2 linked regions of the Ovis aries genome follow. The protein of the gene in region 1 purifies or fractionates together with the protein of each later gene. This does not show direct contact. Links are inferred from orthologs where the notes say so. Each region holds a gene or a part of one and is shown in the gene's direction. Other genes may lie near its edges.

The links. The genes of interacting proteins can lie anywhere in the genome.
Region 2: the proteins of HIPK2 (region 1) and AXIN1 purify together in Homo sapiens (affinity purification with western blotting; 3 studies listed by BioGRID). This does not show direct contact. The link is inferred for Ovis aries from reciprocal best matches to the Homo sapiens genes HIPK2 and AXIN1.

Annotation. Positions count from the first base shown.
Region 1 is NC_056057.1:104,674,066-104,681,707, reverse strand, and holds the start of HIPK2 (homeodomain-interacting protein kinase 2), read left to right. Parts: upstream 1-3,409; 5' UTR 3,410-3,430; coding exon 3,431-3,449; intron 3,450-7,642. Other genes in the region: putative HTLV-1-related endogenous sequence, read left to right, coding at 2,742-2,939, 3,058-3,409.
Region 2 is NC_056077.1:875,051-882,057, reverse strand, and holds part of AXIN1 (axin-1), read left to right. Parts: intron 1-275; exon of another isoform or gene 276-289; intron 290-327; exon of another isoform or gene 328-568; intron 569-3,303; 5' UTR 3,304-3,386; coding exon 3,387-4,264; intron 4,265-7,007. UniProt on the Homo sapiens protein: Component of the beta-catenin destruction complex required for regulating CTNNB1 levels through phosphorylation and ubiquitination, and modulating Wnt-signaling.

The DNA of each region.
Region 1 (7,642 bases):
GGGATAGAACGTCAGCCAAGATGGTCTCTGCCCCCACTGAGCTTACAGTTTACATGCATTATCCAGTATGGCAGCCACTAGCCATATGTGGGCTATTAAAATTAACTAAAATGAAAAATTCAGTTCTTCAGTCACACCAGCCACACTTCATGCACTCCACAGCCAACCAAGGGTTACATTTCCATTCCTGCAGAAAGCTCTATTTGGTAATACTGGAAAGGGATGAGAGATAAAACCTGCATGGTAAAGGTCATGATAGAGACTTACAGGGAGCATGGAGGAACAATTACTATTCATGTTATAATCAAGATGTGGAAACTGAAGCTCCGAGAGCATAAACTATTTTATCAAATTCACACAGCTACTAAGTGGAAGAGCTGGGATTGGAACCCAGGCCTGTCTTAATCTCATGCTCCCTCAGGCTGTTTTGTGGAGGAAATGAGTCAGGCACAGGTAGAGTCTGTTTAAAGACAGAAGATGGAGAAGCCATCCTTGGTGGGGAAGTAGCAGCTTCGACAAAGGCACAGATGGGCAAGGCTGGCAGAGGACCATGAGGGAACCAGTACGGCTGGAGAGGCAGTGACTTGCTGAACTCAACTCATGTGCTTAAAAAGGTAAGTCAGAGCCTGCCTGCCTTGATTAAGAGCCAAGAAGCAAGGAAATTCAGCTCTGAGCACAGAGGTTGACTCTTTGAAGGATGTTAACAGGAGCATGGCATGGACAAAGCTGTGTGTTTTGAAGGCGGAAGTGCTTAGGGTAAACTGGGCTGTGACCTGTAGATGACAGGGGGATAGAAGGAAGGGATGAATGATGGTGTGAAGCAAAAAACACCAGAGTGGGAGCCAAGAGCTTAACCCCAAGGTTGATTGATTGATCGACTAATTGATTGGTTTTACTCTCTCCCTTTTTTTAAATTTTAATTTTATTGGAGTATAGTTGATTTACAATGTGGTAGTTTCAGGTGTACAGCAAAATAATTTCAGTTATATATTTATATTCATTCTTTTTCAGATTCTTTTCTCATATAGGTTATCACAGAATATTAAGTAGAGTTCCCTGTGTTATACAGTAGGTCCTTGTTGGTTATCTTATGTATATTTGTGTGTATATGTCCAAAAGTTTGTTTTCAATATCTGTAAATGTTTCTTTTATTGTAAATAAGTTCATCTATATCATTTAAAAAATTAGATTCTACATATGAGTGACATCATATGATATTTGTCCTTCTCTCTGACTTACTTCACTCTGTATGATAATGTCTAGATCCATCCACATTGCTGCCACTGGCATTATTTCATTCTTTTTATGGCTGAGTAATATTCCATTGTATATATGTGCCACATTTTTATCCATTCTTCTGTTGACGGACATTTAGGTTGATTCAGTGTCTTGACTATTATGAATAGCACTGCAATGAACACTGTGGTGCATGTATTTTTTTCAGTTATGGTTTATCTCCAGATATACACCCATGAGTGGGATTGCTGGATCATACAGTAGTTCTAATCTTTAGTTTTAAAAGGAATCTCCATACTGAACCCCAAGATTTAACACTGTGTATCACTGGACAATATACTTCATTTCCCTGGGCCTCATCCTTTCAGTTCTAAAAGGGCATGGCTGGCCCAGATGATTTCTAGAGCCCCTTCAGCAGTGGTAGTCAAGGATTCTGCAAATCAGAATGACATTAGGCTCAGAGAAGCAGTGCAAAGTGTAGCATTAAATATGGGGACAAGGAAGACAGCAGAGTCAAAGGTCATCAGTGGCAAAGGGGGAATGATGTGCTCCTAACAAAACAAGGTGAGTGTATAAAAGGGCTTGTCTTTGGAGGTTTTTTTCAGACGGGGTTTGTCACAGGGCGTGGAGATGGGGAAGGATAAGTAAGAGGTGGCAGGAAAATAATCATTTGTTCATTATTTTACATCCCCCAAATACAGACTTTAAACTTTTTTTTTTTTGGACCCATGACCCATAGCAGGAAATACAACTTGTATCCTGGTCCAGTGCAGTTGTCTAGTATATATAACTGAAACAAAGGGTTTATGAAACAATTATTCTAAGGGCAGTGGCATCTAATACTTTCTATTCTAGTACATTTCATTATTTTAAAAAGTTGGTTGCCGTCCACTGAATGTCTGTTATGATCAATTACTGCGTCACGACCCACAGTTTTAAAAACCCTGCCTAAGAGTAAGATCAGGTCTTAAGTTGGGGGCGATGGCAGGCATCCCATCAAAGAACCCAAGACTAGCTGCAGGAGGGGACTGGCAAGCCTCGGGGAGTCTGGAGCGCGTCTGAAGCTCTGTGAGGCAGAGCGTTGAGGAAGGCAGAGGCCTGGGAAACAATCGGTGGCAACCACTCGTCTAGGTGATAGGGGTTGGGGATTAACCCTCCAGACCTCGTAGACCTGAGGATGGGGGCGGAAACCAGATTCCCGCAGGAATCCAGCGAACATCCGAAGGCTGCATTTCATAAGCGTGCGCCGAATGGCTCCCGCATCTCTGACCTCATTTGGGCTTCCAAAGCTCCTCCACTCACTCGAGAGTCCGGGGAGGACCGCGTGCGCCCACTCCTCCATTCATTCATTCATTCCAAACCCATCTCGGGGAGCGCCAACCAGGTGCGAGAAAGGGCGAGCCGTCGGCGGCCGAGGCTTCCCTTCCAGTCGGTTCCCCTCCCGCCCAGCTCGCATGCACACAAAGTTCTGGTGCCACCCCCGCGGACCGGCTCCCCCTTGCCAGTCAGAACCAAAGCGCGTGCACCGCCGCCCGGCGGAGCCGCCTAACCTCCCCGGCTTCCCGGGATCCGCCCCCCACCCACCGCCTCCCCGCACCAGCCCGGCCGCTCCTGCCCTGCGCTCGGCCTTCCCCGCCTCGCATCCGTGCCATCGGCGCTCGATTGCGCGCGGACTCCTGGCTCCGGGCTCGCTCGTCGCTCGCGCTCGGCCGCCGCTCCCGCCCCCGGCCCCCGCCCCCCGCCCCTCCCCCGGCTCCTCCCGCCCCTCCCCCGCCTCCCGTGCAACTTTTGCCGGAGCGCCCCCCTCCCCAACACACACAGCCATGCTGAGCTGAGCCCCGGCCGGGGACTGGCCGCGCGCTGCCCGCCCCGGCTCCCGCCCCACCGCGGACCCGCTCGGGGGCCGCGGCCGCTCGGCCCTCGGCCTCGGCCGCTGCGCCCGCCCGGCCGCCCCCCGGAGCCCCCGGGAGCCCCGCGCAGGGCCCGGGCCGCGGCGGCGGCGGCGGCGGCGGCGCCCGGCCCCCTCCCCCGGCGCCGGCCAAGTGAGGCGGTGATGCGGGCGCTGGCGGCCCCGGCTGCGCCGAGAGCGGAGACACAGGCTCAAGATGGCAGATTCCGACTGAGGCTGGGGGGGCCGAGCTCGCGCGCCGCGATCCCTTCTCCGTTGCCATGAATCGCGGACACCCCGGCCCCGATGGCCCCCGTGTACGAAGGTAAGCGGCGCCCGCCCGCCGACTCCGCCGACCCCCGGCCGCCCGGCCGCCCGGCCCCCGGAGCTTTGTTCTGCCCGCGGCCCCGCGCCGGGCAGCACCTCCCCACCCCCGGCCCGCAGCCCCCCGGCGCCGGGTCCCCGCGCCCCACCCCCGGGGCTCGAACCGGTCGCCCGCCCCCCTCCCCGCCACCCCCTCGGTCGCCCGGCGATCGGCCGGGATCCGGAATCAAACAGATCTTATTTCCAGGATGGAGAAAGAGGCGGGGGGTGGGGTGGGGGGTGTGCGAGGGTGGGCTACTGGCCGAAGAAAAGAAATTGGGTGGGAGGGGGCGCCAGGAAAAAAGACAGACCCGTGACGGTGCTTTTTATTTATTTGTAAGAAATAAAGGTGATGCGGTGTAGCTTTCCATCTCCACCCCCCCCACACCCTAAAGAAAATTACCTTTAGGGTGATCTGTTTCCACTCTCCGTCCTCCCAGCTCCCTTCCCGTTTCCCTCCACTCCCCCCCCCCCCCACCCCCCGCAACACACACACACAAACACACACTCCTTTATTCTTCGCGAGCCTCAGATTTTGGGGGGCTGTCGGATCGGAATGTGCGGGGCTAGGTGATGAGAGGGGGGCAGAGAGGAAAAGTCCATTTCAGAGCCAGGCAGAACAATGAAATAGGCGAAAATCTCCCCGCATTAGCGTGTGTAAGGGAAAATGTAGTTTGGGTTTGCCAGTCGGGGAGGCGGCCAAGACGCTGGTCTCCGCCGGTCTGGGTAAACCTGCGCGGTGCACCTTCACCTGGCGTCGGGTCCTTTTTCTCGTCTGTCTTTAGGAAGAAAGACAAGAACGGAAGGCAGAAATACTCCGTTTCCCCTGCAGTCCCTCTTTCGTTTCTCTTCAGTCAGTTCTGTCAGTTTCCAGCCAGAAATCAAACCGGAATCAACTAAGTTTTTACACTTCGATGTGTGTTTTGTGTGTGTGTGTGTGTGCTTGTAGTAGGAGGGATTTTGAACCAAAGGGTGTTTGATTTTTTTTTTCAGTCATTTTCCTCGTGAAAATGTCTTTCTCATGAAATCATTGAAGTAGCAGCCTTTACATACTTTGAGCGTCAGTCCATCTGGCTTTCTTTCGGTTTTGTTCAGATACCCTGTGGATGAAATAGCAAATGAGAGGAGGCAAGGGTTTGTGCGGAATGAAGAGGAGGGGCGAGGTTTTAATCCTCTATAAATCCGGAGAACAGTCGTGGCCAGTGAGACAGGGAACGCATTAATAGTTTTATCTCTGTTATAAAGGCAGATTAGAAAAAAAAAAACAAAACTTATCTGAAAAGAAAATCTGTTATTAGTTCCAGAGCTCCAAATGAATTAGGTTTCTGGATGGAATAAAGTTACCAGTCAGGCTGGGTAACGAGGCTGTAAATAACCTATGGACTGTAAATATTTTTTTTCAGACTCTCTTAGAAACAAAGGGGCCTGTTTAGAAGGCAACAGAGAGATGTTATTCCAGGGGCTTTCCTCTTTGATTCTGAAGAACACAAGGTCCATTTAACCATTCAACAAAACAAAACAAAATTTCTGATCACTCCACCACACAGAATGGAGCCAGCCCGGTGGCTCTGTGAACATACTAGGAGGACCCAGTCGGGCATTCATTGTTCCTCTGAGTCTCTGGGAGGGGGCTACAGTCAATGCTCCCACTGTCTATGGAGTGTTAAAATGAAACAATTTTCTCTTTATTAAGTACCTCTTTGAGACTCCCTCTGCTGGACACTCCGGGTGAGCATTGGAGAAGGAACTTGGCATTGAATTCAGAACTATAGTAAAACAGGCTGCTTTCCCTTTCTCAAGGGGCTGGGTATGTGGGTTGGGAGGTATTTTGTCAACTTTGTAGAAAGCCGTCCTGGGAACCGTGCTGTTCCCCTCCTGTTCTCCTCATCTAAATCCATACGGAATGTAGGCCATCCCCCTGCGGCTAAGCCTTGGCACTAAGGCTCTTCCTACCCTGCTCTTTTAGCGCATGACACCAGATAAAGACCTGTGGGTGTGGAAGACGTTGTGGTTTAAGCATAATCTCAGATCTCAAAGGTTTCGAGCTCACTTTTTTTATTTGCAAGCCTGCCTTCTGTGTCCCAGCTGACCTATGTGGTCGCTTCTGCCACCCCTGGGCCCCTCAGTCTTGTGTGTGTGCTCTCTTGATCATTCCTGTGCATTGTGCCCTTTGATTCTGGGAGAGTTTCTTCGAATCTTTGTAATTCTTCTCTTCCTCCTCACCCCTTTTGAACCAGTCCAGCATCACTGCCCGAGCTCAGGCCTGGGTCTTTTTTGAAAGCAGCTGTTGGTCATGCTCTAAAGCAGACAGGTGACCCCTCTAATCAGGCATTGCGCTGCGGAACCCACATTTACTTCCTGTGATGAGTGCCTCTAAGACTTCAGTGACCTCCTTTTTCCCTCCTTTGGCAACGCCCCCTGCATTTAGGGAACCTGATTTTTACCACATCCCGGTCGGAGCACATGGACTCCTTGTGTGTATCCCAGAGGAGCAGGGCTTTTCCTGTGGAATTCTCCAAGAGCGATTTCTGATAGTTTTCACCCTTCTAAAAGGTTTGAACCCTGGATTCTTCTCAGGAGAAGGATAATGACAGGTGAGGCATTTAAGCCAGAATTCAGGGGTATATTCATTTATTTAAATAGGGTGCAATTGCCCGAGGCTAGGATTTGATGTAAAGGCCTGAGTGCATTAGTGGAGCATCCTAAACTGCCAGGTATTTAGAGAGAAGTGATCTGTTTGAAACAGGGTATGTTTGATAATACAAATCAACGGGTAGGAAAGTGTGATCAGCCTTCCACAGCCTGCTTTTAAGGATAGGTTTCTAAATAGCATAGTAGTTTTCAATGGCTTGGTACTGATGAAGTTAAACTTCTTTAAAAAGGTTTATTTTCTTTAGAAGGTTAACCATTCTCCTTGCAGTTATGTTTACTCCATCAACTTGCTTTGCAAGGCTTTTTCCAACATTTAGTGCAGAGGCCAACCACAAAGGTTTCTAGTGCCACAGGTGCTAAATTAGAGGACCCTAAACTGTATTCTGCTCTCCCTGGGCCGTGCCTTGTCCACTATTGTTGGCTCATACAGTCAGACTTCCCCAAACTGTAGCATCAAAGTCTGTCATCAGATGGGCCTGAAGACACCTACCAAGAAATGGATTCTGAATCATCTTCCATTAAAAGAATTTGATGACACATGTTCAGAAATATCTTTTCCTGTGTTTATGTTTTATATTTTTAAAAATGAGTGAGTATAAATATTGTTTTCCTTCTTACCACATTTGAGAAGTGAATCAAGGCTCATTAATTAATTTTAACCCCTGATCCTGGACAGTGTGGTATAATACTCGAATCAGAGAAACCTGGGCTTTGACCCTAGCTGTATGGCTTTGGGCATGTTACTTAACTTCTCTGAGCTTTTTTTTTTTTTCCCTTCTTTTCAAAGCCTTATTTGATTGTTCCAGGGCTCCATTAGAAATAAGTATATGTAAAGCATCGGGCTGTAGTAGGCATTTTCTCAGTACATGTTAAATCCCTCTATCTTTTGAGCTGCTTACAGGCATGATGACTCCAGGGAAAGAATAAGCCACAAATAGTTTAGAAAACCAATAATAGCAACATTTCAATTATTAATCTCCTGCCATTCCTTTTCCAGTTTGGACACCAGCAACAATAAGCCCCCTATGGCCAGGGAAGAAAGAGCCTCTTTTGACCCTCTCTGTGACCTTTCCAGACTCTTTATTCCCACTGAGCTTCTGCTGGTTTCAGGTAGAGGATTTCTCTTCTCCCATGGCACATTCTCTGCAACTCTAAAAATGAAGCAACAAACCATTCAAACTGAGTTTCAGGGGCTGCAGCTGTGCCTCTGGGGAAATATCCCAAGGTGTGAAAGATAATCTTTGCCCTTTATCAGGATCCATTGGTAAACCAGACTGCCAGCCAGGAAAGGGAGCGCCCTGAGGTGGCTTACTTACCAGTGGCCTCCTCAGAGGGGAGACATCCACCCGATCACAAGCCAGGGACTAGATCCATGCACCTAACGTGATTTTCCTACAAAAAAAAATTTGGTGCTTTTTGCAAGTTGCAGCTGCTTGTATTCTTCATATGTTATTTTTTGTTTCTTTATTTCTTCCTTCCTTGCGTAGAGACCGATCTTGAAGG
Region 2 (7,007 bases), on another chromosome or scaffold:
CCGCCCCCCCAAGCAAAAAGTAGGAGTGAGTGAGTCTGAAACCGGAGGAAGCACTCCCCGTGAGGCAGAGCCTGAGGCCGGGTGGTCTGGCTTGCTTGCGGGGCTTTACTCCTTCGGGTAGATAGATGCCTCACCCCTCAGCTTTCTCTGCCTCTCTCCCGGGTATATGTCTTAGAGTCCACCTCTGCTCTCCATTTTCATGGGAACTGAGTCCCTTCTGAAACCAGAGCTGTGCAGTCAGGGCAGTGACGCTCATAGTTTAGCATACGCAGCAGAGAAAAATGCATTAGTCCTTAGTACTCTGGGCATTTTTCTCAGCCGGTCTCTAAAATAATTAATAAAGAGTGATTGTGCATCTTGGCCCCTTGTTTGTGCTCATACTTCTGTTCTCTGCTGCTTCAGGGAGACCCTCAGACATCCTTGGACCAGTCCTTGTTTTGGAAAACACACACAATCTAAACCTGACCTCCGGAGATAGCACTATCTGGGTTTCAGTTTTAAGAACTTCTATTCAGGAACAAGGATGGGAACTCATACAGGATGTATGTTTCTGTCTGATTCCTAGCAGGTATTGATGTTTCTTGGATTTATGGTTTCAGGAAAGCTAAGTGGACTTTTTGGGTTTCGTTGGTCATTGAGGATTTAGGTGGTGGGGGAATAAATTACATGTAAAGCTGTAGTCCCAATCCTTAAACAATCCTTAGTTAATGGACAGTTGGGAGTATGTCAGAGTCATACTCTGTTGTTTCCATACTTCACATAAATCAAAAATTCAAAAGTTGCATTTGAGTAAAACAGATAAATATACACATGCCTACAGCCTTGAGCTGGCTGCCGTGATACCCAGGGGGTGCTCCTTGGCAGTGACTGAAGGAGATTGTAAATGAGGCATCAGGGCTGTAGATTCCTTTTGTGGAGTCCCCTTTGTTGAAGGTGGTTACAGGCTGTTGGCCAGATCCAGCGCCTGTGGGCCCGTGACTCTAATCTGAAGCAAGGCAGCATCTTCATATGTGGTGTGTACGTGGGCACACTGAATGCCTGCCGTGCTTCTCCTTGGGAACCCGGAGATCTCAGTAATGGGAGCGCGTTTCGTAACAACAGCAGTGTGGAGAGATGTTCTTGTGCTTCTGGGACACCGAAGGTCTCCTGTCAGTTGACAGCCCAAAACAGATGTGAATTTTAAGAAACATTTCTTCCGGGCTGTGAGAAGATAGCTCAAATGATTAGGCGGACTTGCTCTCACCCAAATGAAAAGATAGCTCGATGTTGAATTTGCTGCTGTTTCAGCACCTGTGAAGGGCTAATGTTCCGTATCTGTGCCGAGTGTTGTTTTCCTTAATGTTGATGAATTACATGTCTGTTGGTGCCCTTTAGTTGTGGGACCTTGTGTCAGATCCTGTAGGCCCTGCAGAGAACGTTTAAACCAGGCTGCTCCAAGTCTTTTACCTGAAAGAAATCAGCACTTCAAGAGAAAGTGACGTGACTAGTAATCAGCCTCGTCTTAGAACACAGTGACTTGGTTTTTTCTCAAGGCAAGTGAACCACAGAGCATCTCCAGTAGTAAGGCTCAGGGGACCAGGTGAGGGTCCTCCTTCCTGGGATGGTGACCCCGACAAGAGGGCGCTAGCATCCGGGAGCTGGTGTGGAGACCTCAGAGGTGCTCAGTCCCCTTCGACGGGGCTCAGAGGAGGCGACCTTGCAGTTGAAGTGGTCCGTGAGCAGCAGCTGTCACAGCCCATGGGCCTTGACCTGAGAAAGCAGGCTGTTCCTGCCGAGGCCGAGATTGCAGCCGACCCGGTAGGCTAGTCACTAGCTGCAGGACAATAGTTGTGACCCATGCTCCGCCTCTGGGTGCCGTGAGGCGTCGGCAGCTGCTGGCAGGCGAGTGTGTGCAGACCAGGTGTGGGGCAGGTTGCATGTAGGCCAAGGCCCAAGAGTGGAGAGGTGGCTGGGAGGTCTGTACCTTGTGTTGGTGCCAGGTTTTTGGATTTTGCTCTGCTCCTCTGACTTGCTCTGCACTCTCAGCGATTGGGCCTATCACGCTTCTCTCCAGTCTCTTTCTAGGCAGACCACTTACATCCAGCAGGCCAGGTTGGGAGGTGTGGCCTGAGCCCATAAGCTCAGTGTCAGGGAGGACAGGACGCGAGGCTGTGGCAGAGCCCTGGCAGGGCAGCCCTCCCTTGTGCAAGACGGGCTTCTAGCAGCAGAGACAGATCCATGGCTCCCTCACTCCGAGAGGGCGAGTCATGTGGCTTTCACTTTACCGAGCTTCATCCTGTGAGCTGCGGGCTTCCTTAGCTAGTAGGGTTTGGGCCTCGTCTGCTCTGTACCCTCTCTGCTTCTCAGAGTACTCAGTTGCCATTTGCTGTCAGAAGGACTCTTTACTCTTAAGCAAGGTTTTCAAATCTAGAGCACGTCTCTGATGGAAGCATTTTTTAAGACTGTTCATGGGAATTCCCTGGTGGTCCAGTGGGTAGGACTCCACATTTTTACTGCTGAGGGCCTGGGTTCATTCCCTGCTCGGGGAACTAAGATCCCACAAGCTGCCCTGTGTGGCCAAAAAAAATAAAAGCCTTCACATCATTGGCGGTGTGAGAAGGCCGCTGTGCACGGGAGCAGCATCCTGTGCTCACTCACTGGAAGGTTCCGTGCTCTTTGGGGCGTGTGGAGACTTAGAAGAACCAGTCGCTGTGTGTTTGCCCGGGTCGTGGGGACACTCAGTGTGAAGCGGTGGAAAGCAAGAAGCAGAGCGGCTGTGAGCCTGAAGCGCGGGGAGGGCAGACATGGGCGCCAGCCTTCGGTGTGGAGTGCCATGTCTGCGCATCACAGTGGCCCTGTGACGCTGAGATACACACCCTCACCTTCCTCGTGAGGGGCTGGCTCTCACCTGGCTTTGCACAGCTGGAAGGACCAGAAGCTCCTGTGTCTCCTCCAGCCCTCCTGCCTTTCCCGAGCTTGAGAGGGCCTGGCCACGCAGTCCTGTAGCAGCTCAGGATGGAGGGTCCCCAGGCTTATAGTCTCTCTTTGTTCTCACAGAAGGACCCTCAAGGGTAGTGACGCTCTCTGTGTTCTGGACATTGATTTCTTTGTGCCAGAGGCATTCCTGTAGTTGGCAAAGTTTACAGAAATTGTTCTAACATAGTACAAAACCTTGTGACAAAGGATTGAACATTTAAACTGAGTTTCTGGCTTTGAGTTCGAGCGGGAGGGCATCATTGAGAGTCTTGTCGTGAGAAAACCTCTGTGGTCATGTTTCCATGGACCCACCTTTCCTAATCCTTGTCCTCTTAATGGTTTCAACAGGACAGATTGATTCACTTTGGAGCCGTAAGTACTGATGTATTAGGGTGCAGCGCTCATTGTTCATTGACGCACAGAGTCCCAAAATGAATATCCAGGAGCAGGGTTTCCCCTTGGACCTCGGAGCAAGTTTCACCGAAGATGCCCCCCGGCCCCCAGTGCCTGGTGAGGAGGGTGAACTGGTGTCCACAGACCCCAGGCCCGTCAGCCACAGCTTCTGCTCTGGGAAAGGCGCTGGGATTAAAGGGGAGACTTCCACAGCCACTCCGAGGCGCTCGGACCTGGACCTGGGGTATGAGCCCGAGGGCAGCGCGTCGCCCACCCCTCCGTACTTGAAGTGGGCCGAGTCGCTGCACTCCCTGCTGGACGATCAAGATGGCATAAACCTGTTTAGGACTTTCCTGAAACAGGAGGACTGTGCCGACCTCCTGGACTTCTGGTTTGCCTGCAGCGGCTTCAGAAAACTGGAGCCCTGTGACTCGAATGAAGAGAAGAGGCTGAAGCTGGCCAGAGCCATCTATCGCAAATACATCCTTGATAACAACGGCATTGTGTCCCGGCAGACCAAGCCCGCCACCAAGAGCTTCATAAAGGACTGCATCTCGAAGCAGCAGATCGACCCCGCCATGTTCGACCAGGCGCAGACGGAGGTCCAGTCCACCATGGAGGAGAACACCTACCCCTCCTTCCTCAAGTCCGACATTTACCTGGAGTACACGAGGACAGGCTCGGAGAGCCCGAAGCTCTGCAGCGACCAGAGCTCTGGGTCAGGGACAGGGAAGGGTGTCCCCGGGTACCTGCCCACGCTGAACGAAGACGAGGAATGGAAGTGTGACCGGGAGGCGGACGAAGACAGTGGCCGGGGCCCTGCTCCGCCTGGCAGGCTCACGCAGAAGCTGCTCCTGGAGACGGCCGCCCCGAGGGCCTCCTCGAGTAGACGGTACAGCGAAGGAAGAGAGTTCAGGTGAGTCGACCCGCGGCCTGCAGTCCCGTGCCCACCTCCACGACTGGAGACGCAGCCAGGGACAGGCCTTGTCCTTCAGCCCGAGTGGGTGGACTCCCGGAGCCGGGGTGAGTTGTGGGGCTGGTGTTTGCTCACGATACCTTCTTGTGTATTAGGTGTCTTTACGTTTCTTTTTAAATTGTGTGTGTGTGTGTGTGTGTGTGTGTGTGTGTGTGTGTTTTGTTCCCGTGCTCAGGCTTCCCCCGGCTGTGGCGAGCGGGGCTGCCCTCCAGCTGTGGAGCCCGGGCTTCTCCCGTGTTGGCGTCTCTTGTTGCGGCTCATGGGCTTCATAGTTGTGGCGCACGGGCTTGGTTGCCCCGCAGCACGTGGAATCTTCAGGGACCAGGGATCAAATCCCCTGCATTGGTAGGCGGATTCTTAACCACTGGACCACCAGGAAAGTCCCAGATGTTTGTTTGTTTGCCTTCATCAGGTCTTAGTTGCTGGGATCTTTGTTTGGGCCCATGGGCTCAGTAGTTATGGCCTGGGGGCTTAGTTGCCCCAGGCATGTGGGATCTTCATTCCCCAACCAGGTATTGAACTGGAGTCCCCTGCATTGAAAGGGGGATTCTTAACCACTGGACCACTAGGGAAGTTTCCCCTAGATGTATTTAATATTTTGAGGGCCCCTTTATCAAGAAAGATTGAAGGCTGGAGGAGAAGGGGACGACAGAGGATGAGATGGTTGGGATGGCATCACCGACTCTATGGACATGAGTTTGAGGAAAGTCCGGGAGTTGGTGATGAACAGGGAGGCCTGGCGTGCTGCAGTCCATGGGGTCACAAAGAGTCGGACACGACTGAGCGACTGAGCTGACTGACTCACCTATCAAGAACAGCCTAGAATATATGGCTTTGTAAGTCATTAGGCATGTTGGAATTCTTAGGAGTCATGATATTTAAAGCTTACCTTTTAGTAGTAAAATTTGTGTTCTCTTGCACAGAAGGTGGGTTTGTGTGGCAGACTTGATCCTCTTGGCTTGATAGGACATTTGAGTGGTCATTGCGGAGAGAATTCCAGGCCGCTTGGGAGGTGGTGGCGAGGAGGCTGCTGTGCCGCAGGCTGTCCGAGCGCTTTGGGAACTCCCTGTGGCTGCAGTGGGGCTCCAGGATTGGATCTGCACCTCCTGGCCCCCGCCAAGGAAAGGGTTGTGCTGCTGTGTGTTCGGTTCCCAGCTCTCTCCAGTTGCCGTCAGTCCTTGCATGGGGCACGGTGCAGCCTTGGAGGCGTGAGTGGCGCTCTCCAGAAGTCGTTGCCAGTTTGGAAGTGTGCCAGTTTGCTGGAAGTGTGTTTGGTGGGGAGGTGGGGCCTACAGCCGATGTCGGTGGGCACTCGCGTTCTCGGTCATTTCCCTGTCGGTAGGTGGTCCCAGACACGCTTGCCTGCAGAACTGACAGCTGGGGACCCTGTGGCCCTGCCGACTCAGTCGCGGATCTGCAGAGGCACCCCTGGGCGCCGGGCTCTCCCGTGGAGCTGGCCAAAGGCCAGATCGCGTCTCCAGGGTTTCTGTGGCAGATTGGCTACTTCTGACAGAAACAGGGTTCAACTTTCTCAGGGTTTAAATACTCTTTAAGTGGTGTGATGAAAAAAGACACTCTGTTTCAGGTGATCTCTGTGCACCTTTTGCTCACTGTCCTTATCGATTGAGTAATCTTTTCAGGACAGAATATACTATAGAATTATCCTGGTGAGGACGGCTAGTAAGTGACAATAGCTTTTAAAACCTAACACGGAAGTTTTCATATTTGATTAGAACAGTTTTAAAATGGGATTATATTTGAGGCCTGGGCTGCAGAGGAAAACACATTGAGCTCAGTTCTGATTTCTGATTTTGGAACTTCCACGTGCTACCCTCACACTTCCCAGTTCTCAGTCGGGGGCCCGTTGTAGCAGCAGCCTTGCTTTTTCTCTCTTCGGTTTGCTCTGTTCATAGTATGTACCCTTTACTGTCCAATTGCGGGAACATGTTCAGCTGTGAGGACTCCGGCACGTGGAGGTGCTGGCGCCACAGGGACCTGGCGCCCCCGAGTCCTGCCTGCGCCCCCGAGTCCTGCCTGCACTGGGACGTGCCCCTCCCAGGGCTGCCTGTGTGGGTGTGTGGATGGGCGCCCTCCCGTGTCAGCGCCAGTGTCCGTCAGCACTGACAGGCTGTGGAGTCCAGCACAGTCCACTCGCTTTGCAGGGCTTGCGGTTAGGGTCCATGCGGTTGAAAGTCACAGAAAACCCAGCCCGCCCGGCTTCCACAGTGAAGACGTTGGGCTGGCCCAGATAGACGGAAAGTCCGGAGCGGGCCCAGCTTCAGGTGCGGTTTGATTCTGACTCCAGCCATGTTTCTTTTAAAGACGCGATTTTGTTTTCGTTGTCTTTTAGGGCAGTTTTACGTCCCCAGCACAGTTGCGAGGAAGGTGCAGAGGCTTCCCGTGTGCTCTCGCCCTGCGCGTGCACAGCCTCCCCCGCCCCCCCATCAGCACCCCACCCAGAGTGGCCAGTTAACAGCGGACGCCGCCGCCGCTGAGTCGCTCCAGTCGTGTCCGACCCTGTGCGACCCCACGGACGGCAGCCCACCAGGCTCCCCCGTCCCTGGGATCCTCCAGGCAAGAACACTGGAGTGGGGTGCCATTTCCTCCTCCAATACGTGAAAGTGACGTCGGTCAGTCCTGTCCGACTCTTAGCGACCCCACGGACGGCAGCCCACCAGGCTCC